Linked DNA regions of Rattus norvegicus. The protein of the gene in region 1 purifies or fractionates together with the protein of each later gene. This does not show direct contact. Links are inferred from orthologs where the notes say so. Each region holds a gene or a part of one and is shown in the gene's direction. Other genes may lie near its edges. The genes, in order: Ppp2cb, Tiprl, Stk24, Strn, Strip2, Cct2 and Ppfia3.

The links.
Region 2: the proteins of Ppp2cb (region 1) and Tiprl purify together in Homo sapiens (co-immunoprecipitation; 3 studies listed by BioGRID and IntAct, with this or other methods). This does not show direct contact. The link is inferred for Rattus norvegicus from reciprocal best matches to the Homo sapiens genes PPP2CB and TIPRL.
Region 3: the proteins of Ppp2cb (region 1) and Stk24 purify together in Homo sapiens (affinity purification with mass spectrometry; 5 studies listed by BioGRID and IntAct, with this or other methods). This does not show direct contact. The link is inferred for Rattus norvegicus from reciprocal best matches to the Homo sapiens genes PPP2CB and STK24.
Region 4: the proteins of Ppp2cb (region 1) and Strn purify together in Homo sapiens (affinity purification with mass spectrometry; 5 studies listed by BioGRID and IntAct, counting the BioPlex papers as one, with this or other methods). This does not show direct contact. The link is inferred for Rattus norvegicus from reciprocal best matches to the Homo sapiens genes PPP2CB and STRN.
Region 5: the proteins of Ppp2cb (region 1) and Strip2 purify together in Homo sapiens (affinity purification with mass spectrometry; 3 studies listed by BioGRID and IntAct, counting the BioPlex papers as one, with this or other methods). This does not show direct contact. The link is inferred for Rattus norvegicus from reciprocal best matches to the Homo sapiens genes PPP2CB and STRIP2.
Region 6: the proteins of Ppp2cb (region 1) and Cct2 purify together in Homo sapiens (affinity purification with mass spectrometry; 4 studies listed by BioGRID and IntAct, with this or other methods). This does not show direct contact. The link is inferred for Rattus norvegicus from reciprocal best matches to the Homo sapiens genes PPP2CB and CCT2.
Region 7: the proteins of Ppp2cb (region 1) and Ppfia3 purify together in Homo sapiens (affinity purification with mass spectrometry; 3 studies listed by BioGRID and IntAct, with this or other methods). This does not show direct contact. The link is inferred for Rattus norvegicus from reciprocal best matches to the Homo sapiens genes PPP2CB and PPFIA3.

The regions. Positions count from the first base shown.
Region 1 is NC_086034.1:65,265,330-65,269,146, reverse strand, and holds part of Ppp2cb (serine/threonine-protein phosphatase 2A catalytic subunit beta isoform), read left to right. Parts: intron 1-3,330; coding exon 3,331-3,420; intron 3,421-3,539; coding exon 3,540-3,701; intron 3,702-3,817.
Region 2 is NC_086031.1:80,082,123-80,086,433, reverse strand, and holds the start of Tiprl (TIP41-like protein), read left to right. Parts: upstream 1-1,393; 5' UTR 1,394-1,438; coding exon 1,439-1,542; intron 1,543-1,609; exon of another isoform or gene 1,610-2,031; intron 2,032-4,311. UniProt on the Homo sapiens protein: May be a allosteric regulator of serine/threonine-protein phosphatase 2A (PP2A). Isoform 1 inhibits catalytic activity of the PP2A(D) core complex in vitro. The PP2A(C):TIPRL complex does not show phosphatase activity.
Region 3 is NC_086033.1:104,778,576-104,782,392, reverse strand, and holds part of Stk24 (serine/threonine-protein kinase 24), read left to right. Parts: intron 1-658; coding exon 659-844; intron 845-2,651; coding exon 2,652-2,797; intron 2,798-3,166; coding exon 3,167-3,290; intron 3,291-3,817. UniProt on the Homo sapiens protein: Serine/threonine-protein kinase that acts on both serine and threonine residues and promotes apoptosis in response to stress stimuli and caspase activation.
Region 4 is NC_086024.1:22,149,825-22,153,641, forward strand, and holds part of Strn (striatin), read left to right. Parts: intron 1-1,777; coding exon 1,778-1,888; intron 1,889-3,817. UniProt on the Homo sapiens protein: Calmodulin-binding scaffolding protein which is the center of the striatin-interacting phosphatase and kinase (STRIPAK) complexes.
Region 5 is NC_086022.1:59,541,381-59,544,065, forward strand, and holds part of Strip2 (striatin interacting protein 2), read left to right. Parts: intron 1-831; coding exon 832-1,036; intron 1,037-1,877; coding exon 1,878-2,128; 3' UTR 2,129-2,685. UniProt on the Homo sapiens protein: Plays a role in the regulation of cell morphology and cytoskeletal organization. Required in the control of cell shape. Calmodulin-binding scaffolding protein which is the center of the striatin-interacting phosphatase and kinase (STRIPAK) complexes.
Region 6 is NC_086025.1:54,588,543-54,593,017, reverse strand, and holds the start of Cct2 (T-complex protein 1 subunit beta), read left to right. Parts: upstream 1-1,612; 5' UTR 1,613-1,667; coding exon 1,668-1,670; exon of another isoform or gene 1,671-1,813; coding exon of another isoform or gene 1,814-1,894; intron 1,895-2,313; coding exon 2,314-2,388; intron 2,389-2,475; coding exon 2,476-2,541; intron 2,542-3,390; coding exon 3,391-3,502; intron 3,503-3,948; coding exon 3,949-4,025; intron 4,026-4,120; coding exon 4,121-4,233; intron 4,234-4,475. UniProt on the Homo sapiens protein: Component of the chaperonin-containing T-complex (TRiC), a molecular chaperone complex that assists the folding of actin, tubulin and other proteins upon ATP hydrolysis.
Region 7 is NC_086019.1:104,979,178-104,983,681, reverse strand, and holds the start of Ppfia3 (liprin-alpha-3), read left to right. Parts: upstream 1-1,403; 5' UTR 1,404-1,539; intron 1,540-1,923; exon of another isoform or gene 1,924-2,369; intron 2,370-4,504. Other genes in the region: Lin7b (protein lin-7 homolog B), read left to right, coding at 210-231. UniProt on the Homo sapiens protein: May regulate the disassembly of focal adhesions. May localize receptor-like tyrosine phosphatases type 2A at specific sites on the plasma membrane, possibly regulating their interaction with the extracellular environment and their association with substrates.

The DNA.
Region 1 (3,817 bases):
TGTATATGTGGGTGACGGTGTCTTGCAGAAGGAGGTTAAATGTGGGAGAACATTTACTATCAGGCATCCAGGATCTGTATTGACAAGTTATGTAAGTCTCTGTCTATTCTGATTAATACAGTACTGGGGAGTTAAACCTGGTGCCAAGCCAGGGCGCTGCCCCTGGGCTACAGCCCCGTTCATGATTTGGTTGGTTTGGCGGTGGTGGGTTTTGGGTTTTGTGTATGCCTATTTTGGAGGGAGTCTCACTCAATTGCTCAGGCTCAGACTTGACCGTACTCTCAGCACAGCTCAACTCTCCTGCCTTATGTTCCCAAGTAGCTGGGGTTCTAGGCTTCAGTCACCAAGCCCTGCTTCCCCTGCCTCTGGTCTTCTGGCCAAAGAAGATGTGTGCCCTAATGTGTGCTCTAAAAAACAAAACAAAACAAAACAAAACAAAAACAGTGTAAATAAATGCTTAAGTCTTGGGGCATATATATTATTAGTAACACAAGATGTAATTGGAAATTGTGCCCATATTACTACGTTCCCTGGTTACCATTAGTAGCTTTTTATTCCTATTTTCATGATAACTACAAACATAATATTGTATATTATATCTTTTTTATCAAGAGGGATCTCTGTTTCCAGCATAGTAAGTTTTAAGGCATACATATAAGACATTACACAGGTTTCCTAGTTCACCATTTAGAGGCTGCACAGTGAGCTGATTTAAATTCATGTACAACACACAGAATAAAACTTGAATGTTAGCAGGTCTTTAATCCCTGCACTCAGGCAGCAGAGACAATGGATCTCTGAATTCAAGGCCTCCCTGGGCTAGAGTTAGTTCCAGGACTGACAGCTGCACAGAGAAACCATGAAAGCACAGCACTCTTGAAGGTGTAATGGATACTCTTTGGCTTGCTAGTCTGAGTATAATTTTGGATACTGTAATAATTAAAATGACAATACTTTACCTATACTTGCTAATGTGAATGAAAGTTATTAAAATTTTTCAAGTAATTGAAGTAAAGTCTTTTAGCTTTAAAGTAATGAAATTAATTTAGAAAGATAACAGTAGTATTAGTCATCTATCTGATTTTTAAACTTGGTCCATACATTGGTAGAACTCTTATGTATTTCTTATACTATCCAGCATTCTCCAAACTCATTAGTCTTTACTGTTTTTGAAGTATTTATAAGAAACAAAACAGCCAGCATACACACACCATTGTGACAGGCTATCATTTATGAAGTGTTATCACTGGAAGACACAAACACCTCAGAAATGAAGTAGATAGAACAAGTGGTGCACAGAGTCCTGGAAGGGAATGACAAGCTTAGGTCACACGTGGTGTTCAGTATATGGGTACCTAGCAATCAGATCTGCCTATTGTATGTGCACGTGTGTGCAGACGAGCCTATGGCGGCTGGAGGTTGCTGTCCTAACTCAGTTGATGTACATGTTGATTGGTGAGACGGGTTTTTCACTGATTCGTGTAGATAGCCTGGCCAGAGCCGCCCTTATGTCTCCAGCTTCCCAGCACTGAGCCTCCATGCAGTGCTGTGTGCCCGGCTTCTTACATGGTGCTGGGCTCCAGTCCCTGCGTGGCAAGCCTTGACTGCAAGCCATCTAGAACCAGGTCTGCTTTGTTAGGTTTGGGTTTAGGAGATTTTATTTTTGATACATTTATTTGCAGGGGAGCGAGGGAGGTTGGCCTACGGCAAAATGAAGTTGTCATGTGCTGAGCCATCTGCCAGCCTCCTTAAATATGTCTGTAGGCCAAGTATATGGGGCTTTAAGGAGCATGGAGCTGGTGGGAAAAAATGGAAAACTTGAAAATCCTCACAGATAGACATGATGTGCGACTATGATCCCAGCACTCGGGTTTCAGAGCTTCCGTGGCCATATGTTTTATCTATATAAGTTCAGTAGCCAACCAGATACCGCAGGCACAGAAAGATAAAGTGAAACCGATTTTGGTGGGGAGGGTGTCCTATATCAGTGATTTAAAATTCAGTTAAGAATCATATAGTGCTAAATGTTTTAGAAGATCCATTAACAGTCTTGTCTATTAGGGAAGCATGAGAAACCTCGTCAGACTCAGGAGAAAAGGCTGATGTGCTCACGTAGACCCATTCAGGAGCTCTGGGAAGAACTGCTGACGCCTAAGTTAGCCTGGGCTACATCCATAGCACATACATTGCCCCTGCCAATGAGCTGCTCACGAAAATCCTCGTTATTCTCTTCCTTAGTCTAGTCCTTGAACAGAGGGTAGTTCTGAGAAAAAATTTAAAACGCTTATATCATCCCACTTTATGTCAGAGTCCTGTAGGTGCACTGTCTACAATAAAAGGAACGGAAGACAACTGGGGAGGTGGCCGAGGGTGACCAACACCTTCTTCCTAATTTGTAAACACATCAAGTACTTGTTTGCAACCATGAAGATTGGTGCCTAGATACCTAGCAGCCATGGAGGGCACGGTGCCCGCCTGTGACCCCTCTCCTGGAGATGGGATTCCTGGAGTGAGCTAGCCACAGCAGCAAGCTTTCTTTTTTTTTTTTATTTTTTTATTTTTTTTTTTTATTTCGGAGCTGGGAACCGAACTCAGGGCCTTGCGCTTGCTAGGCAAGCGCTCTACCACTGAGCTAAATCCCCAACCCCAGCAGCAAGCTTTCAAGCAAGAGACCCTGCCTTGGTGAGGAAGGTGGAGGGATCAAAGAGGGACATCCACTACCAACCTTAGGCCTGCACATCTGTGTGCACCCACTAACAGGTCTGCATATACATGCAAACTACAGTTCGGTGTGCAGAAGTGACCCAGTGAGTAAAGTGTAAGGAGAGAAAACCCTAACAGTTGCCCCGACCTCTGTGAGATGTCTTCCACATCATACAATGAGGAAGGAATTAAAGGTGATAAGCTCTATAGAGAAAGTGTGTGAATGTGGGGATGTGCTCAGGAAATCTGAGGAACACCAAAAAGCTCATTGTAGTCAATACCAGAGTCAGGAGGATTGATGTTGAGAGACAGGAGTGTGAGCGGACGCAGTGACGGTGGTGAGCATCCTGTGCTGGGGCAGCAGCAGCCCCACTCTGGAGGCACTGGACTGCATGCAGAGGCCTCAGACCCCGGACCACAGCGGGGGAAAGGAGAGCCCTCAGCACTCGCCGCTGTGGTTACTGCTGGTGACCTGATCCTGCTTTGCGCTGTAGCTCACAAATCTTCCCGTCAGTAATACCATTGGGAAGGAAAGGCTGTCATGGCCGACGCTTGTCACCATTGCTTACTGTTCGTTAATTTAGCAATTACAAGTCAAAAACATGTTTTTCTCAATTTAAAAAACAGATATTCTGCCTCCACGGTGGCCTCTCTCCATCCATAGATACACTGGATCACATAAGAGCCCTGGATCGCTTACAGGAAGTTCCACATGAGGTAAATTTGGCAGTTACTTGTTGGTTTTGATTTTAAGGGAAAAAGTGTAGTCACGTGTGGGAAGGGTAACTCAATTAAACACAACTCATAGTATATATTTGTTCTTTATCCTTGTCCAGGGCCCAATGTGTGATCTCTTATGGTCAGATCCAGATGACCGTGGTGGCTGGGGCATTTCTCCACGTGGTGCTGGCTACACATTTGGACAAGACATTTCTGAAACATTTAACCATGCCAACGGCCTCACACTGGTGTCCCGTGCTCACCAGCTTGTAATGGAAGTACGTACTTTTCCTGCACATTGACCTGCCTCTCACGGTGTCTGCGTCTCTGATAAGGCTTCGTGCGTGACGCAGACGGAAGGAGCCAGAGCCCATTGCCAAGTCCAGAGCTCCAT
Region 2 (4,311 bases), on another chromosome or scaffold:
TGTTGGATGGAGCTGGGCTTGGTGACACACACACACACACACACACACTCCCAGCACTTGGAGAGGAGGAGGAGGAGGAGGAAGAGGAGGAAGAGGAGGAGGAGGAGGAAGAGGAGGAGGAGGAGGAAGAGGAGGAGGAGGAGGAAGAGGAGGAGGAGGAGGAGCCTAGGCTGGCTGTATGCAACTCTTTCAGAAAGAAATGGGGATGGAATTCATTACATGTAATTTGCTCATTCACCTCCTTATTAGGTGTTCTAGAAGATCTAGATAATGTGAGGTTCACAATGTAACATTAGTGAGAGGGTCCCAGCCTCCTTGGGAAGTGCTTCAGTGGCCAACCTCTGTAGGCCAGTGATGGGAGACAATCCTCCACCATTCAGGATGAGATGCCCTACTTTGCATAAGCAATGTAAATAGAGTAACTGTATAGGAGGCAAGGACAGGAGGCCAAGGGAATGAATTAATCCAGAGACCGTGGGCAGGGGAAATTGATGATGGGTTTCTGGGACAGAAACACAAACAGAAAATACCAGAGGAGGAAAAGGTTTATTTGGCTTAACACCTTCAGGAAGTCAAGGCAGGAACTGAATCAGAAATCACGGAGCGAAGCTGCTTAGCGGCTCCAGAGTGGATGAAACAAACACTGAGAGAATGATTTGTGGAGTAAGAGGGGTTGCTGGAATTAAGATGAACAGTTTTGAGATGCTCTAACATTAAACCATCTCATTTTGAGGCAGCCGAAGCCTAAAATAAGCCCAAAGGTGCGCACGGTTGTACTGCAACCACGGAGGGAGCACCAGGCTTTCAGCGGTGTTTCCACTACGCCGGTGTGCAGGTAGAAAAGTCTTAAAATATCATAAGGATATTTTGCCGTTCCTTTTGCAGTACTAAAAATCGAACACAGCGGCTTGCACGGTAATGTGCTGCTTTTCCACTGAGATGCAAGGCGGAGCCACTATCAGTCATTGACTCAAAGGCCGCTGTCGGTTTTGGGCCTCCTAAACACTAGGGACGTTTGGGTATGCCCTCTTCGCCGCGACTCCTAAGCACAAGAGGTGATGACATCGCTCGGCGACGTCTGTAAGGAGTAGGTAAGGCACCGGGCTCTGGATCCAGAAAGACGAATTCCCACACCCACTCTGGGGTGACGTCACCCGAAGAATTCAGGACAGCCCACCATAGCGACACCGAGGCGCTTAAGTCCCGCCCCTTAGCGTCTTCACGTAAGACGTGAGTCATCCTGAGCTAGTGGCTGGTCCCGGAAGTAAAACCAGGAGGGGCGGAAGAGACGGCGGAAGGGCGGGCCCATCGGCGCGGCGGCAGGGGGCGGGGCCGAGATGGTAACGGACGCGCCCAGGAGCCGCGCTGCAGGGAGGGCCATACTGTGACCGCTGCCGCAGGCGCTTGCTCAGAGTAGCCCTGCGGCTCCGCTTCTGCCATGATGATCCACGGCTTTCAGAGCAGCCACCAGGACTTCTCCTTCGGGCCTTGGAAGCTTACCGCGTCCAAGACCCACATCATGAAGTCTGCGGATGTGGAAAAGTGAGGCTGTGGGGCGGGGCTGGACCGGGACGGGCCAGGACGGGCCGGTTCGGATCATTGTCGGGGGTAGGGGTCGGACAGGTTCGGTGCAGCTTCGCGCGGTTCTCAGGGCCTCAGGCTCGGTCCCTCTGACTGACCGTTGATTGACAACTTCAGTAAATAGTCCTGTCCCCTGCTCGCGACCTCCGCTTGCTGGAACTGTCGTTCCGCAGGGTTGAACTGAGCGCGGCTGTTTGGTGGACTTCACCCTTCGCCTCTCCTTTTTTCCCTACCTTAGCCTGCGCCACCTTTCTGGGGGCGGATGACCTGTTTCCTTGCGGGCAATGACAGAGATGATATTTATGTTTTGCTTTTAGCTTGTCTGGTTCCGTGGTGGGCTCTTAAGGTTCTGAACATGATCCATTGAGTACCACAGACTCATAGTTCGTGAGACCGTTAAATGACTGTGTGACTGTTTAGGATGAAGATACATAGCCGGAGCGATTTTAGGTTTTCTTTTTTTTCTTTCTTTTTTCCTTTTAGCAAATTAGGTGCTGTGATAAGCACTTGAGATAGGGAAGATGAAAGATAAAAGTCCCAAGGAATTCATAGTTTCGTGAGAGACTGTTATATTATTGTGTGGCTGTTTAGGATGAGGACGTAAACGGATGGATGGATGGATGGATGGATGGATGGATGGATGGATGGATGGATGGAGATCAGTGCATCTGGGCAGAATCTTGATTAAGTCTGGAGACTGGATGGCGTGTAAAGCCGACACTCAGAGTGAGCTCTGAGGTGTTTGGGGGTGCCTAAACTGTATCTTGATAAAGTTTGGGGGGCATCCTGACAGAGTGTTGCCTCTCGCGTCATTGAAGAGTTCTCTGTCTTGCTAAGAAGTTTGGATTTTATATAATAGCCACCTGCTGTATGTAGTTTTACTCCACGTGCATTATGGTTGAGTCTGAAAGGTTTCTTGGAAGTGTAGAAGATGAGTTCAGACTGGGATGCTGGAAAGGAGGCCAGTAAGCAGGAAAGAGGATAGAAGCTGAGATTTAAGTGCTTACGTTTGGTGGCCAATTGATGGATAGAAAGAAAAAGGGAGGCTCTACAGGACATTTTTTTAAATTTACATATGTAAAAGAATTTTTTAAAAACATAAGTTGTTTCAAATGTTATAAATTCAGACTAGTTTGTGTATGCATTTTCCTGCATTGCATGTGGGCCTAGTTGGGGGGCTGGGTCCCCTGAATGTTAAACAGGGCCCAAACACCTCATTTCTAATGTCATGCCTTGCCTTTAACAAGTAGACATTACCAGTGATAGAGTTGAAAGGCAGCATTTGAAGCAGCCTACCTTAATAACGGAGACTCTTATGTAACTGTGCAAGTTTTTCCAGATAAACTGGGAAAACCCATGGAGCTGCCTTTATTATTTCATATTTGGTCTAATCAGGAAAATAGTTAAAACCTGTATTTTACAGACACATCTTGTGGATATTAATCTTTCATTGTATTTAATCTTTTAGGCATTTAATATTTTCCATTCGTTAAAAGTTAAGAACAAATTTTACTTAAATTTATGGTGAAAATGTGCCATTTTACTGTTATCAACCATCGTAAAAATATGAAACATATGCAGCGTAGAAACCTCAGTTACCAATAGATAAAATGGAGTATGGACCCAGTTTTTTTTTTTGTTTTGTTTTGTTTTGTTTTGTTTTTTTTTTTTTTTTTTTGGAGCTGGGGACCGAACCCAGGGCTTTGCGCTTCCTAGGCAAGCGCTCTACTACTGAGCTAAATCCCCAACCCCATGGACCCAGTTTTTAAAAGTCTTAATGACATCTTGAATATTTTCCCATCTTTTCTCTAAATAATTTAATGATTTTATAGTATTCCATCATATGGTTACAGATTTGTATAACCATTTATTATTTTTTTTTATTTGTTTGTTTGAGACAAAATCTCTACATAGCCCTGGCTGTCCTGGAACTATGTAGATCAGGCTGCCACATCAACTCTCAGAGATCCTCTTGCCTCTGCCTCCTGAGTACTGGGACCTGGGACTATAGGTATGAGCTACCATATCTGGCTTATTTACTGGTAATTGAGACAGTCTTTCTACATAGTTCTGCTGCCCTGGATCTCATTCTATGTAGGTAGGCTGCCCTTGAATTTGGCCTGCCTGCCTCCGCCTTGTGTTGAGTGGTGGAATTAAAGGCTTGTGTCACCATGCCTGGCTGTTTAACCATTTATTTGTTTTCCCCTTGTCTGGGCTGTAGTGGCTCACACCTTTAATCCCAGCACCCAGGAGGTAGAGGCAGATGGATGATCTCTGAGTTGGAGGAGAGCCAGGGCTACACAGAGAAAAAACAAAAACATAACCATTTATTTTTAACTGGGCACTCAGAGTATTCCCTTTTCACCATCATAACAGAAGTTATAAGTATTAGTTTGTATAGTCCAACCTCCCTGTATTTGGAGTTGTTTTGTAGATATCTTACAGTTTATAATTTGAGTCAAAAAGTATAAATCTGATTCAATTTGAATGTTTGCTTGATTGTAGCCCCAAGGAGAATGTAGTTGTCCTAGAGAGTCTAGTTAGCAAGTGTGATTTTGGCCCCAGGGAGGAATGTAGGTGTCCCAGAGAGTCTAGTGAGCCAGCATTGTGGCCGCTGCAGGGTGGAAGGAGAGCCCTGTCAGCAAGTGTTAGTTTCTGCTCTCCTCCTTTGCTGGGCTTGCTTCTTTTCATCACTAGCTTTGAAATCTCTTATGAAGCCGAAATTTCTGC
Region 3 (3,817 bases), on another chromosome or scaffold:
CTATGTTAATGCTGTCCATGTCTGTGTGTTGTAATAAACATTCGGTAGCACTGATGGAGAGCATGTGCCCCGGGTTCAGTGCCCACCACTGCAAATGCAATCAAACAGAACACAAAGGCTGTAATTTCTAGGCACAGTGGTAATATACACAGTTGTCCCTTCCTACACCCTTGTAACTACCTCCCTTGTGAAAATCAAGGGGACCAATGGGCTTAGGGAAAGCTGTTTGTCTAGTGTTGTAAGACCCTGATTGTAGAGCTGATTTGAGACCAGGGTGCTCACTTGGTCTGAACCGAAGTGCGTGGCACCAGGTGCTGCTCAAGGGACGCCGTTCCTCCTCCTCATCTGCTCCGTTGGCTGCTGCTGCTAGGGCTGCAAAGTCCCCACTGAGCACACCTGACACAGGCATGATGTCTACCGTAGACGTGGCCGTTTGCATCGCTACTGGAGCAGTTTTGTATTTCTATGTAGCATTTGCTACATAAAATCTGTCCACTTGTTTCCTATGTTAAAATCATGCTAAGGGCTTGTGTGTTTTGTAGTTCAGAATAACGGTCTTTTTCAGAACCTGAGAGTGAAGCACACGTACTTTCCCCTCCCTTGTGCTTGTCTGAAGGTGGGTCTTTTCCGTGCCTTTAAGATGCTTTTGTCCTTGCAGGCGGACATCTGGTCCCTCGGCATCACAGCCATAGAACTGGCCAAAGGCGAGCCGCCACATTCTGAGCTGCACCCCATGAAGGTGCTGTTCCTTATCCCAAAGAACAACCCTCCCACGCTGGAGGGCAGCTACAGCAGACCCCTCAAGGAGTTCGTGGAGGCCTGCCTGAACAAGGAGCCCAGCTTCGTGAGTGCGGGCCCTTCCTGGGGTCGGCTTGGTCTGCATTTCCTCTGTTGGGCTTGTGCCAGCTGCTCTTCCAGCCGTCTCCCTGGTCTCTGGAATCTTGGCAAATGAATTCAATTTCTCTCTCTCTCTCTCTCTCTCTCTCTCTCTCTCTCTCTCTTTCTTTCCTTCTTTCCCTCCCTCCCTCCCTCCCTCCCTCCCTCCCTCCCTCCCAGAACTCTCTGCAGACCAGGCTGGTCTGCCTCGGCTGGGCTCCCCCACTTCCCTGTCCCTTTAATTATGGATGCCTAGTTTTTGTTGCCCATGTTGCCTTCTTGCCTTTCAGGGATTTAAGATGTAATTATTTTATCTTAGATTCATTGAGCCTGAAGAATATTTTACTTAGTATTGTGAGGTAGGAGTATCAGTTTTTAATATTGATAGAGAAAAATCAGGCTGTAAAACTAGAAAGCCACTTCAGCAGTAGCAGAGCATAGACTCAAAATAAAGGAAGCAGATGTTCAGTTTCCAGTTGTCATGTGCCAGGAGACAGACACGTAGGTACACATGAGCCACCCACTCTGCCACCCTGCCTTTTCTCTGTGTTTACTCAGTGGTGGCAAAGCCTGTGGCCTTAGCTACTCTGAGCTTTCCTCATTTTTCTCTGAGAACTGGGGCAGCCTGTGTGTTTCGTCCCATGTAGCCCTCCGTGCCCTAGCTTTGTTTTGGGTTTAGCTGGGCCAAGGCTTCACTGAACCCAAAGAATAATCATGGAGGGTCCCCGTGAGCTTTTGTCTAAAATGGTGAGAAGATGAATTTCACAGGAGCATCATGTGGCTCCCAGTAGGAGCCAGTTCTGGCAAAGGATTTAGAAAGGACAGGCAACCCAGTCTCGGCTCCCAGGGGCTACAGGCTGAGGTCAGCAGGTCAGCATTTGGTACTGGGTCAGGTATCAGATGGTGGGTGTGGTTTTGGTGTCAGTCCTGGTGGTTGGTTGTTGTGCCGTGGTGCTGCAGAGTGTAGTGTAAGAGGGATCCGAATGTGTGTACATTTTCTTCTAAGCACACGCAGTGCTGGTTCATTCCCACCATGCCCCCTTCTACCTTGGCTTACCCTGGACCTTCAGACACGAGGGCTCCAGAGCTGAGGACACTGGGATGTTTGGATGTCACAGCCGGGAGCTGATGCCAGTAGGGGGAGCCACTGGCTTAAACTCTCTGTGCATTTGGTGGGAGTTGTGCCATTCCTGGGTGGGGATCAAGCTATTGGTCCCAGTCACCAGTGTGGGGATAGCTTCATAGACCTATTTTTCTAAGTAGGGAGTGCTGGTGACTGAGGGGACCCAGCCAGGAGCCAGTCAGGTCTCTCCTGACTCCTGCCCCTACCTCATAGATGAGTCGAACCTGTGAACTCAGTTTCTGGTATTCGTCTAACACCGGAGGAGATCATAACGACACGTATTTCCCTTAGCCAGCACTTACCATGAGAAACCAAGTAAAAACAAGATGAACTCTCTCAGACAGTACTCACAAGGTTCTCTGTGGAGTTCTTCGCAGGAGTTCTCTTGCTTTGGTGAACTGCTCTAGTAGGATGCTTCAGTCTTTGTTGGAAACTCTGTGCCATTTTTCCTTGTGCCTGTAAACTTGGGCACAGGTATGATGACTTCTCCAGCACGCCTGAGCGGGAAGCAGGCTCAGAAGCAGGCTCAGAAGCAGAACCCAGGGCTGCTCCGTGGTACGGTGGTCTGGCATTTTGACCCAAAAGTCTTGTCTGTTAGAGGGGGATGAAGAAGAAACTTCCTCTCCTGCTTATGTCGACGTGTGTTTTCCAGAGGCCCACTGCTAAGGAGTTATTGAAGCACAAATTTATAATCCGCAATGCAAAGAAAACGTCCTACCTGACTGAGCTCATCGACAGGTACAAGAGGTGGAAGGCGGAGCAGAGTCACGAGGACTCCAGCTCGGAGGACTCAGATGTGTAAGTCGCCCTGTGGGGCTCCCCACGCCTGCAGCACACTCTTGGACCCTGCTTCTTTGGGGGTGGGCTTCTGTGTATGTAGCTGTGGCAGATAGGGGTAGAGCTGGGGTGGGGGGGGGGCAGGCAAGCAAAAGAGAGTACAGACAAGAGCCATGGCCAGGAGGAGGAACCTGTGGAGACACTGAGACCCAAGAAAGACGAACAGTAAATTGGCAGATGGATCCTGAGGAGAGCTGAGGCCACTGTGTGCGGGAGGTGGCAGTGGCAGTGGTTGGGGTGGGCCAGGGGTGGGGGGCCGGGGGTCATTGGTCTGCGCAGTGCAGCCCCTGGCCTTGTCTGTGCTGGTGAACTTGGGATTTCTATTCCAAGGGAGACAGATAGCCAGGCGTCTGGAGGCAGCGACTCTGGGGACTGGATCTTTACCATCCGGGAGAAAGACCCCAAGAATCTGGAGAACGGAACTCTTCAGCCCTCAGATTTGGAAAGAAATAAGGTACAGCGTGCCTACCAGCCAGTGGCCCTGGGGAATCGTTCACAATAAGCCTGCTGTGGGAGCAAACGAGGTGCCCCTCCAAGCAGCTCCTTGCTGGCATCTGCCCTTAGGGAGTTGACGGGTTAGAGATTGAGCTCTGTCTGACCACCTGAGGACTGAGATGTGGGCCTGAGCGTGGGTGCCGGTCTGCTCCGTGCTGAGTCGTTACCCTCGCCTTGTGTAACACGGTCCTCCTGACCCTCAGCCACATGGTGGACTTGGATGTGACGCTTCACGTGTGAAAACTCTGAGTAGCTGTCGGGCTTACAACACCCTGATTTCCCTCCGGGAATTTTAATTTCAGGCCCTTAAAGATCAGTATGTTCTTTTGATACTTAATATAGACTTAATGTTGGTGAGGTGGTTTTCCACTTAAATTTACAAAAAGTTATGTTTTAAAGATGAGTTTGTCTGTCCATCTGTGTGGCTGCATAGGCCTGAGGAGCTCATTAGTTCAGAGAGAGTGGGAGTCTCTCACTCTGGCGGTA
Region 4 (3,817 bases), on another chromosome or scaffold:
ATTTATTTTGTTTTTAAAAGAATTTTATAATTGCCAGGTGTGATGGTGCACAACTTTAATCCTAGAGCTTGGGAAGTAGAAGCAGGTGGATTTCTTGAGTTTGAGGCCAGATTGCTATATAGTGAGTTCTAGGACAGCTAAGACTGCATAGTAAGACCTGTCTCAAAAATAAACTTTTTAAAGATTTATAATTAAAATTCAAAGCACAGAATTTTGCATAAGTTCAGGGAAGTAGATAATAAATCTTGTGAGGGTCGGCTGATGGTTGGCTGGTTGATTGTACTGGGTCAAGAGCCTAGTGGTCTTGGGGCAGGTGAATTGACATTGTCTGTGACCTACCATCACTGCTGCTGCTGGTGCGAGTGCCTACAGACTGGAATTACAAGTCTTTACAGCTACCAGGATGGCTTAGCAAGTGAAAGTGCCTGCTGCCAAGCCTGACAGCGCAGTCTGATCTTGGAGCCTCCCCCTGGGAGTTGTGCTCCAGCAAGTGTCATCTGACCATGCGTGCTGTGGCCATGTGTGTGCGCTCTCTCTTGCGCGCGCTCTCTCTCTCTCTCTCTCTCTCTCTCTCTCTCTCTCTCTCTCTCTCTCTCTCTGAATAAATAAAATAAACATTTTAAAAAAGACAGTAAAAATTAACATTTTCTAAAATTAGTCCTTCTGGTAGAATGTGATATTCCTACTACTGATAGATGTTATATCAGAGATCTAACAGATGCTTTTTGAAATTGGAGTAAACTTAAATTGCTTTCAAAATAGATTTCTGGTAATTCCAATGATAATTCAATAAATATATTGATCAAGTGCTCTCCGTGCACTGGGTCTTCCTGTAGGTGAAGAGTCTTGCTCCTATGGTACTCAGTGGTGGATCTAGCATTGTTCATAAAATCAGAACCACATGCTCAAAGCACAAGCCTCCCTTTTTTCTTTCTTTGCTTTTGATAATTTTCTTTTTTAAAAAGGTCTATTTTAGTAATAAAATATAATAATGTTAGACAGAGACTAATACATCTGAATCGGCCAAGACAAATGAACAGAAGGAAAAGAACCCAAGAGAAGGCAGAATAATCACAGACCTACTCTTGAACATTCGGGAATCCCACAGAAACACTAAGTGGAAGCCATAGTATATCCTCGGAGCACGTGGTGCAGACCCATGCAGGTCCTGCGCTTGCTGCCGACGTCTCTGAGTTCATGTGAGCTTTGCTCATGCTGATTGGAGGACTTGTGTTTTCTTGGTGTCCTCCATGTCCTCTGGCTTTTACACTCTTTCTGCCTCCTCCTGTGAGTTCCCTAAGGGGAGAGATTTGACGGAGGCATCACTCAGGGCTGAGTGTTCACAGTCTCTCACTCTGCACATCGTCTGGCTGTGGGTCTTGTTTGTTCCCGTCTGCTGCAGAAGAAACGCCTCCGAGGATGATCTGCCTGGCCTGAGTGGCCTGTCTTAAACTCGGAAACACCATTAAGATTTTTAGTCTCTTAATAAGAATCTTCTATCACTGTACCTGTGCGATACGGAATTCACTGGCAATGCTGTAACGTTCTCGGAGTTAAGGGAATACCAGGTTTACCTCTTCTGTCGTCTTCAGTGGAGATGTTCTGTTAGTTAGGACACTGACTTGATCTTTGCTAGGTGTGCTTTGTGTGCACATATGTGAGTATAAGCATGACTTGTGTAAGCGAGTGATGTCATGAAGAAAATCAGTATCTTCCACACATTGCCTTTGTATGTGATAGTCTACTGAAGAAAGGCTGTTTGTCTCACTCTGTTTAGAAAAGGAAGATCAGTGTCTGACGCCGGAGGCCTGGAATGTGGACCAGGGAGTGATCACCAGACTGAAGGAGCAGTACAAAAAGGAGAGGAAGGGGAAGAAAGGGGTGAAGAGTAAGTGGGAACATTGTCTAAACACGTTCACCTCTGCATCTCCCATCTCGGTTCGCTGTCAGTGCTCTCCTAGCGTTTCATTTCTGCTCCTCACCTCTTTCCTTCTCACCGTCTCTCAGGGGTTGAAATTAGTCGGCAGCTGTTTGACTGTGAACTTAAACAGAAGTCACATATGAATATGGGATTTTCACAAACATGGAAAGGTTTGGGAGAATGTCGGCCAGTGCGTTTGAACAGTGATGGGTTGGCTTCAGGAGAGCCCACTCACAAAGATGTTTACTTCTGGTCGAAACATATAAATTTTACTTAACCCAGTTTGCTCGCAGTCACCAAAGTGGTTGCTTATACTTTCAGATCTTGAGATAAGAAAAAGTTAATTTCTACCCCTGAGTAGTCTTGTGTGTTCCCAACACAAAGTTCATTTGCTCTCATCTGTATATGCTATACAGGGCACACGGTCAAACATTCAATTTAAAAGAATCTGTTTTCTGATTAACTGTTTTGGCCACTTTAATTTATAGCAGTATTACCAATTAACTTTTTCCTCGTTTCAGTAAAGTATATGCCACATCAGAAACAGAAGGCAAAATGAAATTTTAGCCCTGTGGATCATATAACTCATTATGCAAATGAAAAGTTTGTCAGTAGATCTAGTATGTATCTAAGGAAATGCAAATCCTATCAAAACCTTGATGGGAATAATATTAAGCAGCTTCTTAGGAACTGGGGATGTACCTCAGATGGTAAAGTGTTTCCCTAGCATGCATGCACAAAGCCCTGGCCTCATCTCTGAAGAGCATAAACTGAGTGTGCTGGCTCATGTCTGTAATCTCTGTACTCTGGAGGGAGAGGCTGTAGGACCAGGAGGTCAGGGTCAGAGTTAGCTATACGAGGAATTAGAGACCTTCCCAGGATATATGAGACCTTGTCTCAAAACACCAAAAACCATCTTTTTGGGAGAGTAAGATTAAACCACCTTCTGTGCGTCTACTCACTGACATGGTAAATAATGAGCTTTCCTTTTGATGGCAATAGGAATTTTGTCCTTTGAGATGTGAAAGTAGTATAAACAGATTAAAATCTAAACTTAGTGTGAAATGTATTTATAAATTGCAAAAGACTGGAAGGATAAAAATGCTGCATTCCTTTCTTGCTTTTCAATTGTGATAAGACATCCAGAGCAGTCTTTCCTTCAGACATTGGGTTACAATCTGGTAATTATTTTTAAGACATTTAAATACTAAAATCTCAGAATTTATAAATTCTGAATCGATGAATTCCGTGTCCGTTAGTGATGATAGCACAGGTTTAAGAATCACTGAGTGATAAGATAGTTTACTGTTATCTTAGAGTAGATCAAATCAGAGTGAGAAAGGTACCATTAAAGCAAGGCTGTTTCATTCCTTTATTCCAATGCACTAAACTTAAGAGATATATTGAGACATGGCTTGCTATTGCTTTTTAGGACTAAGTCAGAGCCAGTTAAACTAAAGTGTTGAGGAAAACTTGTGTACTGCCCATTAGAAACATTTCCAGGTTATATTTCTTTGGGTCTTACGTTATAAAATGAGTATCTTGGATTGTAAAGATCTTTTCATTGAAAATGTAGCCACCCCTGCTGTGACTCATCTACTCTGCATTGTAGTTGGGATTTAGCCCTTAAGATCTAAAGCTGCACCATTTGACTGGAACAGTACTCCCGGTAACAGAAGCAATTGGAGGCCCTGCACTGGGTGTTAAGATGCATATTTAGACTTAGAGTACGTGGGCTTCAAGTGAAGCAGCGTCCCTCTCTGGGGACAGTGAGCGCCTTGCACTGAGGATAAGGAGTGTAGACTGAGGTCGACTGTCAGTCTCACTTGTTCCTGAGGAAAGCAGCGTGAGGACAAGTGCAGATCCGCGATGAGGGGAAATGAATTAAAGCTTTGA
Region 5 (2,685 bases), on another chromosome or scaffold:
AACACAGAGAAACCCTGTCTCAAAAAAATTTATCTCCAATGATACACAAGAAACTGGTAATAGTGTAAATGGTATATATGTCAGGTAATCTTTGTTTTGAATTATATGTTATAATTTAAATTTTTTTAATTAGATTTATTCATTTTATTTGTGTTTTGCCTTCGTGTTTATATATGTATCACTTTATACTTGGTACCTACAGAGGTAAGAAGAAGGCGTTGCATCCTATGGAATAGATGGTTGTGAGCTATGATGAGGATGCTGGGAATTGAACCCAGGTCCTCCAGAAGAGCAACTTGTTCTTAAATGCTAAGCCATCTTCACAGTGTGAATATTACAAACTCTAAACTAATTAGTTCTTCATTTTGTTGTATATCACAAGACTGACTGTGAACTCCTGATCAGCCTCTGAATATGGTGATTGTAGGCATGGTAGGCATGTGCCATCATGTCTGGCTTAATTTGTGTGATGTGGTGTGTGTGTGTGTGTGTGTGTGTGTGTGTGTGTGTGTGTGTGTGTGTGTTAGACAGTGTTTCACTCACCCCAGGCTATCCTCAGCCTCCTTATACAGTTCACTCTTATGTAGAGTAGTTAAAATTCATGGGCTTAAACTATTGGCAGACAAAAATGGGCATCTCTTTTTACAATTACTAAGTAATATGCTACTAGTATTTAAAAATCTGGACACATAAATTGAATTTTATGTTTCAATTCAAGACGCTAGGGTCTCCTAGGATAGCCAGGTTTGTCTATATTGTCTGAGTAGGAAATCCTGAGGGGTTCACATGATGACGGACTGTTTGTTACCCTGTCCCTGTTTCACTGGGCAGATGTTGGTGGTGTTTAAGTCAGCTCCAATCTTAAAGCGAGCTCTCAAAGTCAAACAGGCCATGCTACAACTTTATGTCCTGAAGCTACTAAAGATACAAACCAAGTACCTTGGGCGCCAATGGAGAAAAAGCAATATGAAGACCATGTCAGCCATTTACCAGAAAGTGCGCCACCGTATGAATGATGACTGGGCTTATGGGAATGGTGAGTACTCTCATAGTAGATGGTAGGTATTCTTTGTGAACTAGGAGCTCGTGAATTTGACTAGGCTGACTGGCCACTGAGCTCCCAGGATTTGCCTGCCTCTGCTCCTGCAACATGGTGGTTATAAATGCATACTGCTGCACCTGGCTTTTATGTTGGTGTCAGGGATCCAAAGTCAGGTCCTCATGCCATCTCCTGAGCCCCTAAATATGATACGAATTTTATGATGTGCTAAAATGTTTGCCTTCTTATACTTTTTGTTTGTTTGTTTGTTTTAGTTTTATTGTTTTGTTTTGAGACATGGTCTCACTATATAGCCCTGGCTGTCCTAGAACTTGCTATATAGACTACGCTGAGATCTAGTCTGCCTGCATCTGTCCCCCAAATACTAAAATTAAAGACCTGCACCACCATGCCCGGCTGAGTTGGTCCAGACTGATGATTCTTCATGTTCTGCCCCAGTCTTCCCTAGGAGAAAATCTCCCCTTTTAATCCACTATGGAAAGTTCAATAAGAGGAATTTAATTGCTCTTAACAATTATAATAAATCACTAGAAAGAAATAAACAAGAGATTACAATAAAAACTCATCTCCTTTCTCAGCAGTAACTACTGTTACCAGCTTCTAATCTGCCAAAGATCATTTCTGTTATAATAGTTTTATATGTGAGCATATGAATACTTTTAAAACCTGTAAGCATGCTATATGTCTACTTTATACATTGCTCTTAAAAGAACATTCTGAGCGGTTTCACTGTTAGGATCCCATAGACCATGCTCTATGGAGGAAGAGTAGCATCCTGAGCTGTACCTATCTTTTTCTTCCTCTCTTCCTATGTCAGACATCGATGCCAGACCATGGGACTTCCAAGCTGAAGAATGTACCCTGAGGGCCAACATCGAGGCCTTTAACAGCCGCCGATATGATAAACCGCAGGACTCAGAATTTTCACCTGTGGATAACTGCCTGCAGAGTGTGCTGGGGCAGAGGTTGGATCTGCCTGAAGATTTCCATTACTCCTATGAGCTCTGGCTGGAGAGAGAGGTGTTTTCACAGCCCATCTGTTGGGAGGAGCTGCTCCAGAATCACTAATGGAGGTTGGATCCAGGAACCCATTCAGCCTTCTCCGTGAACCCCAGGAGTGTGTGTCCAGGGGTGTTCCAGCCTGGCATGCAGCAGAGACACACAGCATAATTCAGGGCTATCCTGGGTGCCATTAGGCTTGAAGGTGGTTGCAAGACTGGGTGGGATCCTGAGTCAAAGCAAATGGACCAACTTGTCCTCGGCTCAGCTAGGTACCTAGATGGCCTTCACATCTCCTGGTGGATCAGTCCTGGACAGACTTTGAAACCTGCTTTAATCTTGCCAAGAACTAGGCCAGCCTTTTGTTACTGTGGCTGGCTTTGTTAGCCACAGTAGTGAAGGGAAGCTCGTTACAGCATTTGGCCCATGACGTTCATCTCAAGCAGGGGAATAGATACAGCCGTAAAATGAGATTTTTCGTCTTGCCCGCCCTAAATGCCTAGGACTTGTCATTTAGCAAAGCCAACTTTAGACTGTATTTCACATTTAAAAAGTTGGTGCTCACCTCTTTATAAAATAATCACTGATTCTAAGGTGATTTGAGAGCACTGTATCTTTAGAAAGGA
Region 6 (4,475 bases), on another chromosome or scaffold:
ATATATATATATTTTAAGTGCCTATGACTTTAAAAGCTGTTGAGGGAGGACTGGAGAGATGGCTCAGTGGTTGACTGCTCTTCTAAAGAGGTCCTGAGTTCAATTCCCAGCACCACTTGGTGGCTCACAACCATCTGTAGTGAGATCTGATGCCCTCTTCTGGTGTGTCAGAACACAGCAACAAGGTACTCATTCACAAATAATGTTTAAAAACCAGTTGATAACTAGATTTGACTGTCCATAGCTCGCCAGCCCGAACTTACTATATCTAAGGGTAAATATAACTAAACATTGAAAATGCCTTAGTGTTGGCAAGTATCAGAAATTTAGGTACTTACTAAGTGATCAAAGAGAGAAATGTTACCAATGGATAAAAGAAAAACTAACATTCTTTTCAATCATTTGGGGCTTTGCCTTAGGTATCAAGAGCAAAGAGAAAAACATTTTAATATTTTTAAAAGAATTATTTATTTTATGTGTAAGAGTACACTCACTGTTGCTGTCTTCAGACACACCAGAAGAGGGCATCAGATCCCATTACAGATGGTTGTGAGCCACCATGTGGTTGTTGGGATTTGAACTCGGACCTCTGCTCAGGAAGAACAGTCAATGCTCTTAGCCACTGAGCCATCTCTCCAGCCCCAAGAGAAAACTTTTTAAAAACTGATTTATTATGTAGTTTATGTATGAGTGCTCTGTATGCATGTACACCTACCTGCATGCCAGAAGGGCATCAGATGGTTGTGAGTCTCCATGTAGTTGCTGGGAATTGAACTCTGCACCCCAGGAAGAGCAGATACTGCTCTTAAGCGCCGAGCCATCTCACCAGCGCCGAGAAAACTATTTGTAATAAGCTGAAATATTTCGGACTTGATCTTTGAGAAGTCATGTAAGAGTTATAATGGGCTCTCCCCTACCCCGAGGGAAAACAAATGAGGAAAACCTGAACTGGACTACTAGAGCCAATGTCTCAGCTAAGACTCACTAGCGCTTGTCCTGAGCAGTTAAAATCCAATTAGTGTCTTAAAATTAAATGAACTGCAGGAGTAGTGGCGCCCACCTTTTATACCTGCACTGTGGAGGCAGGGTAGAAGGATCTCAGATGGCCAAGCTAAGCTAGAGTTACACAGTAAGACCATGTCTAAGAAGTTAAATGAAGATTCCTTTATAATAATAATGCTAAAAATTATTATTTAGAAGTCTATTGATAAATAACCCTGCCAAAGTAAAATAAAAAGCACGAAAAATGGAATGGTTGCTACCGGGACGAGTAAATAATGGAAATGATTAGTGTGCAACACTTGAAAATGTACAACTGACCTTAAAACAAATTTTGAAAGATTAAATTTTAAAAATGTATGTTAAGCAGGAACTTCGTTTCCGTGGCAACCCGCGCGGTACAAAGTCTCTTTGTTCTCCAGTTCTATTCTAAATCAGCTCGCCCCTAGCCCCGCCCACATCTCAATGATTTCCGCTACTGGGCTAACACGAGCCGAGGCCCCGCCCCTTCTACAGAGAGCAGCCCGCCACGCAGGAGGCGGAAACCCGCGCAGGTCGGCTCCGCCCCCTGCGGCAGATCGTGTCGTCACTTCCGCCTTCCTTTCCCCCTGCTGGCTTCCCGGCGCGGCTTGTGAGGGATTATCCTCTACTCTGAATTCGTCGGAACCATGGTGAGCCTAGCTTTCGGCCCAGGCCTTCGGCTCCTGCCCGGGTCCTGCTGTGTCCCGCCTCCCCGCTGCTCCTCTTGTCTAACCGGAGTCGCAGGCTTCCTGCGGCCGTCTCATGGACCCTCGGCACATGGCACGGACCGGGCATGAGGCCTGCGTGGGACCCGCTGACCAAGCTCTCTGCGTGGGGCTGGAAGGGAGAGCGCGCCCTAAGCCAGCATCTCTTTGTAAGATGAGAGCTTCTCATCTAGGGTACCTCGACCAGCCCCCGGCCTTAGCCCTAGCGGAGAAGTTTCTAGCTACTCTTGTCGGCCCCGCCCTCTTCGGGGCGGGTCTTGAAGGGCGAGCGGCAGTGCAGGCCTGTGGAAGATGGAGGGTAGCTAACTGGTGGTTGGTGCTTGCCCATCCTTAATGTTGCCTTTAGTTTTGTCATAAACACTAGTGGGTTGATGTGATGGCTTATTCCTGGCGCCTACAAGAACGTCCCTCTCGCCATTTAAATAAATACCCACTCCGACGACTGACTCCTGAAATTATATCGGAAACCAGTTTTCCTTTAGATAACCTTACCGATCTAGTGAGAGGCCCTAGATGTGTCTTATCGAGTACTGGCGTTCAAACGGCGTGTGTTACTTTCTCCTTCTAGGCCTCCCTTTCCCTTGCACCTGTTAATATCTTCAAGGCTGGAGCTGATGAAGAGAGGGCAGAGACAGCTCGCCTGGTAAGCCCGTCTGCTTCTTTTAAATGAAAGATCCAACTCTTTGTGAGTGTAAATTTTGACCGCCTTTTCTGATTTTTCTTTTTTAAGTCATCCTTTATTGGTGCCATTGCCATTGGAGACTTGGTGAAGAGCACTTTGGGACCGAAGGGCATGGTAAGAAAAATAAGAAATTTTTAGAAGTTTCTTTTGTTTCTAGTTTTGTTTGCTTTTCCTGTGGTCTTGTGTTGTAGTGGCTGGCCAAAAAGTACGTTTTTTTGTTTTTTGTTTTTTTTCCTTTTTTTCGGAGCTGGGGAACCGAACCTAGGGCCTTGCGCTTGCTAGGCAAGCGCTTTACCACTGAGCTAAATCCCAACCCCCCCAAAATACAAGTTTTAATAATGGTTTAAAGCTTTTGGTGTAAATTTAGTAATAATTTTTTCCCCTTATGTTTTGGAATCTAAAACTTTAAATTAGAAAAAGTCCTTTTGTATTACCATCCCCAATCACACATCTCTCTCCAGTGGCAGCAAGAGTTACCGTTTGCAAAACCTGGTAGCAATGGTTCACTTACAGATAAGTTTGTCATGTTACATTTTTTTTGCAATGCATTTTTTTAAATAACAGATACCATTTTTTTGTTTATGTCTATGTGCTTTTAGTGTGCTGTTTTCAGAGTTCATGCTACCTCCTTTTATGTGAACAGATTTTTATAGCCTTGGTACTAATGTTTTTAACTGATCTTTTGGTTAATACAGAAAGGGTTCCATTGTGATTTTTTTTTCTTTAGTATGCTATACTTTAACTATCGTATAATGTTGTGGGATGTGCTTTGAACTTTGCTGATGGACATTTGTCTGCTTCGTAGTCTTGTGGTGTAGCAAAGCTAGTTTGTATTGTCTGAACTTCTAAGATTTTACACAGTGAGGTTTACAAAGCACGTGGTAGCCAAAGAACCTTTCAGAGGTTTCTGTGTCAGCAGGTATTCTTCAGGAAGTACTTAGTTTGACACAAATTTCCTTTCAGGATAAAATTCTTCTAAGCAGTGGACGGGATGCCTCTCTGATGGTGACCAATGACGGTGCCACCATTCTCAAAAACATCGGTGTTGACAACCCAGCAGCCAAAGTTCTAGTTGGTGAGTCTGAAACTTACTCTTATTCTTTTCTAATAATTTATTTCCCGGCAGGTTGTGTTAACTATTTAAATGAGAGATATTGGCATTTATCAGTATTAAAATGAAATTCAGAAGTATTGTCATCCATAGTCCGTATGGCTGCTACAACCACAGACTAGGTAGTTTTTAAATGGTACAAGAGTCTTTGGCTGAACTGCCAAGTCCAAGATCGGTGGGCCCTTTTCTGGTGAGGTCTTTTTTTCTGTCATAATGTGACAAAAGACATAATGTGCTGAGACAAAAAAAGATCAGGGATTAGTTTCCATGAACTCGTGAGGTACATTCAAGCTAAAGTATTTAGAGCTTTAAGTCAGATCTGGAACATACTATAAATGGAGTGTAGGTTTGCTGTGGAAGTTGTAAAAGAATTTAGTGATAAGGAGGCATAATTTTGCTTTTTTTCCTAGATATGTCAAGAGTTCAGGATGATGAAGTTGGTGACGGCACCACCTCTGTTACTGTCTTAGCTGCAGAGCTACTCCGGGTAAGAGCGGCTGGCAATTCCACCTTAGTACTGGGACTGTGGTTTGAGCAGTAGTCAAATCCTCGGTTACTCTTATGTGCCTTGTTTATTGGCAGGAAGCGGAATCTTTAATTGCAAAAAAGATCCATCCACAGACCATCATTGCGGGTTGGAGGGAAGCCACAAAGGCAGCAAGAGAGGCCCTGCTGAGCTCAGCTGTGGATCATGGGTTGGTATAACGCAATCCCCTTGGGAAAGAAATCTAGAGAACCCTGAGCATTATCTTGGTACCTTGCTCTATCCTAGCAGCTAAAACCCATGCCACCCACCCAAGAACCTTGGCTAGGCCTTCACTTCCCCTCGGCCTCCGGTCTCTAGAGTTAGCTCTCACTAGCCTCAAGTTCACTGCCCAAGTGCTGGGAGTACAAGCCTGTTTCCATACCTGCTTTATTAATCCCTTTAACATGATTC
Region 7 (4,504 bases), on another chromosome or scaffold:
CTGGCTCTTCACCAGAGGCTTCCAGACCTTTGACCCCTGTCATGGTAGCCAAGGCCCTGGGACCCTCTGGCTCTCCAATCCCAGAATCCCTGTGCCTGTTTTTCTGAACTGTTGTCTCCAGAACCCCACCCTTGAACATCTTATGCGTCCCCCCACCACCACCACTAAGCCTCCCCTTTGCCTAAAACTCCCTCTCCACACCCTCACAGGTCCTTGGAGTCTCGAGGCTGAAATCACAGAGCAGGACCCGCCTCCTCCCCTGTACAGTATTATTTATTGTCACTGGCTCCTTATTTAAAGATCTTTAACCCTCACCGAGTGTCTTGTGTGTCTATCGCGCATCCTGGAATAGTCTCTGTGGGGGAGGAGGACAGTGAAGCTGAGGTTAAGAACAAGCTCTTTCCAGTGTGTGTACCATGATAGACACCGCTCGAGCAGCTCTGAAGGCGGAGGCTGGCCGGTGTCCCAGAGACTAGACCCAAGGCTGCGTCGATGTGAGTGCCAGGGCGCAACACCAAGGACCACTGTCCCCAACCCTTAAGAGGTTTGGAAGGCCAAGGCCTGGCAGGTCCCCTGCTGTGAGTCGGACGCGGGAGTCTTGAAACGCAGCAGAAGCCTGATCATTGCCTCTGTAGGCGGGGCGGAGCGAACCATCCGCTGGGGGAACCCTGCGGGCCGTGCCACCGTCTGCGTGGGAGTCGGGGGTTGGTGGGGCGCATGCAGTTCCCTAGACGGGCGCAGGGGTGCAGAGTAACACGCACTCGCCACCCATCATCCACTCGCCTCACCTTCCAACCGAGCACATCCTTCCGGGAGCCGCCCTTGTCTTAAAAAAAAAAATCCCACCTTGAATGTTGAATTCCCATCCCGCCGCCCAGCCCTCGTGTCCCGTGAGACGCGCGCCGCCGCGGGGACCCGGGGTCGCGACTCGCGCTCCACGCTGCGCGCTACTAGATTCAGGTGACATCATCCTCTGCCGGACTCCGCCTCCCTCCCAGGCCGCCGCACGCTGCATGCCTATTGGTCGCTGCACCACGAGTCCCGCCCCCAGCTCTCCGCCCGCGCGGCCCCTCCCTCCCGATGAGGAGGCGGGGTCTGGTCGCCGGCCGGCACGGACGACAATTCTCATTGGCCATTCAGCGCCGTCCGTCAGTCTTCTGTTAAAGGGGCCACGACCGCCCGGGATCTGTGGGGGGGAGGGGGAGGGAGGAGAATTTTTTGGGGGGGAGAAGGTGGGATTTGGGGGGGCGCTGGTGGGCACCCCTGGATCTGGCGATTGCGGCCTCGCGGGGGGAGGCTGTACGGTGACAAGGGCAGGGGGCTATTTTAGGGAGTAAGAAGGCTGTGAGACCGTGAGGGGGAGGGGGTCCCCAGCGCTGGAGCCGGAGCAAGAGACGCTGAGCCCGCGCTAGCGGCGTAGACAGGGCTCCAGATCTCCAGATCCGGGCCCCGGCCGTCGCCAGGGGCCCCGCCCGGTGCCCCTACCCCACCCCGCGTCCCTCCTGCAGCCCAGCTCCTCCCGCAGTCGTCGCGGACCAGGTAGGTAAGAGCCCGGCCCAGCTTGCCCGGCAGCGCCCACCCTGGGGACCCCTGGGCTAACGTCTCCGACCCGCTGGCCCGAAATCCTACATTCCCATCTCCATCCCAAGGGAACCCAGAGTCCAGATTTCACAAGGCACCCCAAGAGACCCAGGCGTGTCCCTTCCCGGAGCTCAGAGTGCTCCGCTGAACCCTAGTATCTCAAGCGGGCTGTCTCCTTGTGCCTCTTCCAGGGCCCAGAAGCCTGGATCCCTCAGTTCAGCTCAGGGGACCCCTCAGTCTAGATCTCTCCTCTGGGCCCAGTCCTGGGAGCTCCAGACACTGGTCACCACTGTGGGACTCTCCCCATTGCGTCCAAATCGTTCCCCCATTTGCGTCCCCCACCTTCTGGTTGGAACAGCCGGCGACGTTCCTCGGTCCAGGCCGGCTCGCCCTGGACACAGGCCCGCGCCGGAGCTGTCCATGGTCAGCTCTCTCGGTAGCCTCGCCTCCCCCATCTCCTGCCAGGGCCGCCAGGGAGGGGGGTGCAGGTGGTGTGGGAATCCCTCCCCCTCACCGCGCCTTTGACCTGGGGATCCCCGCCGCCCCCTCCCAGCTGGGTCGCGGGGTTCTCAGGCCCATCTTTAGGCACTCTAGCTTTCTGGGACTCTAGCCGCTTCACTTACATAGAGCTTGTGAATGTCCCTGCCCAGTCCACTTAGAAACCTTGGCATGGAGCCTCCCGCTCCCACCTGGATCTAAAAAACTGTTAGTGCCCATATATCTGCTGGCCCTGACTAATCACTGTCATCTTATTCAGCACCTGGGGGATCCAGTTCCCTAGCCTTTGCCCACCCCCTCCCCACTTAGCACTTACTTTAACAGCTCCCCCAACCCCCCAAAGACAAATATGTCCAGCCTCTTGGTACACCAGCACCTGCTTGCTGCCTTATGGACTCAGGCGCCATGGCTTCCTTTCAAAGACCTGGAATACATTCTATCCTCACTCCCCCTTGAAGATCTAGGTGTCTCACCCCCATCTTGTAACCTCCACCAGAACAAACACACATCTCAGGAACCCAGAATCTCACTGTGGTGAGTGTCCTGTCCAACAGACCACCCACCCAGGCCTACACTCCCATCAAACATCCAGGCTCTAAGTTTCTTCACCCCCAGGTGGATTCAAAGGTCTGGACCCTGGCTTTGCATCCTCTCCCATCTTCAGGTCTTGGTGGCCTCAGTGTTCTATGAACTTTACATCTTCTTTTTTTTTTTTTTTTTTTTTTTTGGTTCTTTTTTTCGGAGCTGGGGACCGAACCCAGGGCCTTGCGCTTCCTAGGTAAGCGCTCTACCACTGAGCTAAATCCCCAGCCCCACATCTTCTATGGCTTTAACAAACACTCATCTGTCCTATCGTCTGAGGTGCTAGACTTCCAGAGTCTCCTCTCCCCCCAAAGCTGGATATTTCTGCCATCTCATTGCCTCTAGAGACCCATCTGGTAATATCTGATGTCTCATACTCCAAGTACCAAACAGCTGTCCTTTCTTCTAGGTGTGTTCTGTGATCAGGGTTCATCAGGTGATCTGGGACTTGCCAGCCATTTTTTCTGCATTTCTAGTTAATAATGAGTCCTTTCCTTGTGCTGTGTTCAAGAGTCTAAGTTCCAGAACATTTCCAGATGATACACTGTCCTGTCCTCATCAAGGCGTGTGATCTACATTTAATGCCACGAACTAAATTCTAGGCATGTCTTTTTTCACTTGCTCCCTTCACATCCCAGTGTCAGGATTTTGCCATGCATCCTGGGCTGCATTAGAACTCACTATGTTCACTATGTTGTGTATATTTTTTTCTTCCTCCTCCTCCTTTTTTCTTCTATTTCTTCTTCTTCTTCTTCTTCTTCTTCTTCTTCTTCTTCTTCTTCTTCTTCTTCTTCTTCTTCTTCTTCTTCTTCTCCTCCTCCTCCTCCTCCTCCTCCTCCTCCTCCTCCTCCTCCTCCTCCTCCTTCTTCTTCTTCTTCCTACTCTGGTCTTTACAAATATCTAGATAACATACCTAAGCTACTTTCTGTTCTCAGTCCTCTCCTTGGATATGTCCTATATTTCTAGCTATTGAAGCTGGGGTTGTTGCTGGGGTAGAGCACTTACCTCACACACACAAAGTCCAGGGTTCGATTACTAGCACTAGACCAATAACAGAAAGGTCTCACTCTACTCCCACTCTTAGAGACTAATATCTCCTGGGTTTGCATTTTAGATGTGTTTTATGTTCTGGCCACATCTGCTGTTGTTCTAGATTTCCTTCCTCCCATGGATATTCTAACTTGCAGAATGTGTTGTTTTCAATGAAATAGTCTAGTAGTCTTTGGAACTCTAGCATGCACAATCTTATTTTTTAATTGATGATTTATTTTTGTTTTATGTGCATTAGTGTTTTGCCTGCATATATGTTTGTACAAGGGTGCCAGATCCTCTGGAACTGGAGTTAGACCATTGTGAGCTGTCATGTGGGTGTTGGGAATTGAACCTGGGTCCTGTGGAAGAGTAGTCAGTGCTATTAATGGCTGTGTCATCTCTCCATCCCCCATAGCTTGCACAATCTTAAGCCTGGAAGGTTCCAGTATCTTTTGAGCCTCAGGTTCTAGGTCCCTGTCACAGCTTCTGTCTTTTCCTTTCTATGGCCTTAGCTTTGGTGTCTGTCCTGTTCCCTGCTGGATCATAGGCGTCAGCTCCATCTGCTGTCTTGGCATTCTGAGCCTGTTCTAGACTCTCGCTTTTTCTAGAGTCTTCAGCCTCTGGAAAATGTTCTTGGTTCCTAAACAGACCACCCCCATCAGTTAGAGGATCTCCCCCCCTTTGATATTTAGTGTATTTTGTTTTACTGTACATGTGCGTGCATGTGACAGTGTGCATGTGGAGGTCAAAGGACAAGTTGCAGGAGTTCTCTTCCTCATACACCATATGTGTCCCAGAGTCTCAAACTCAG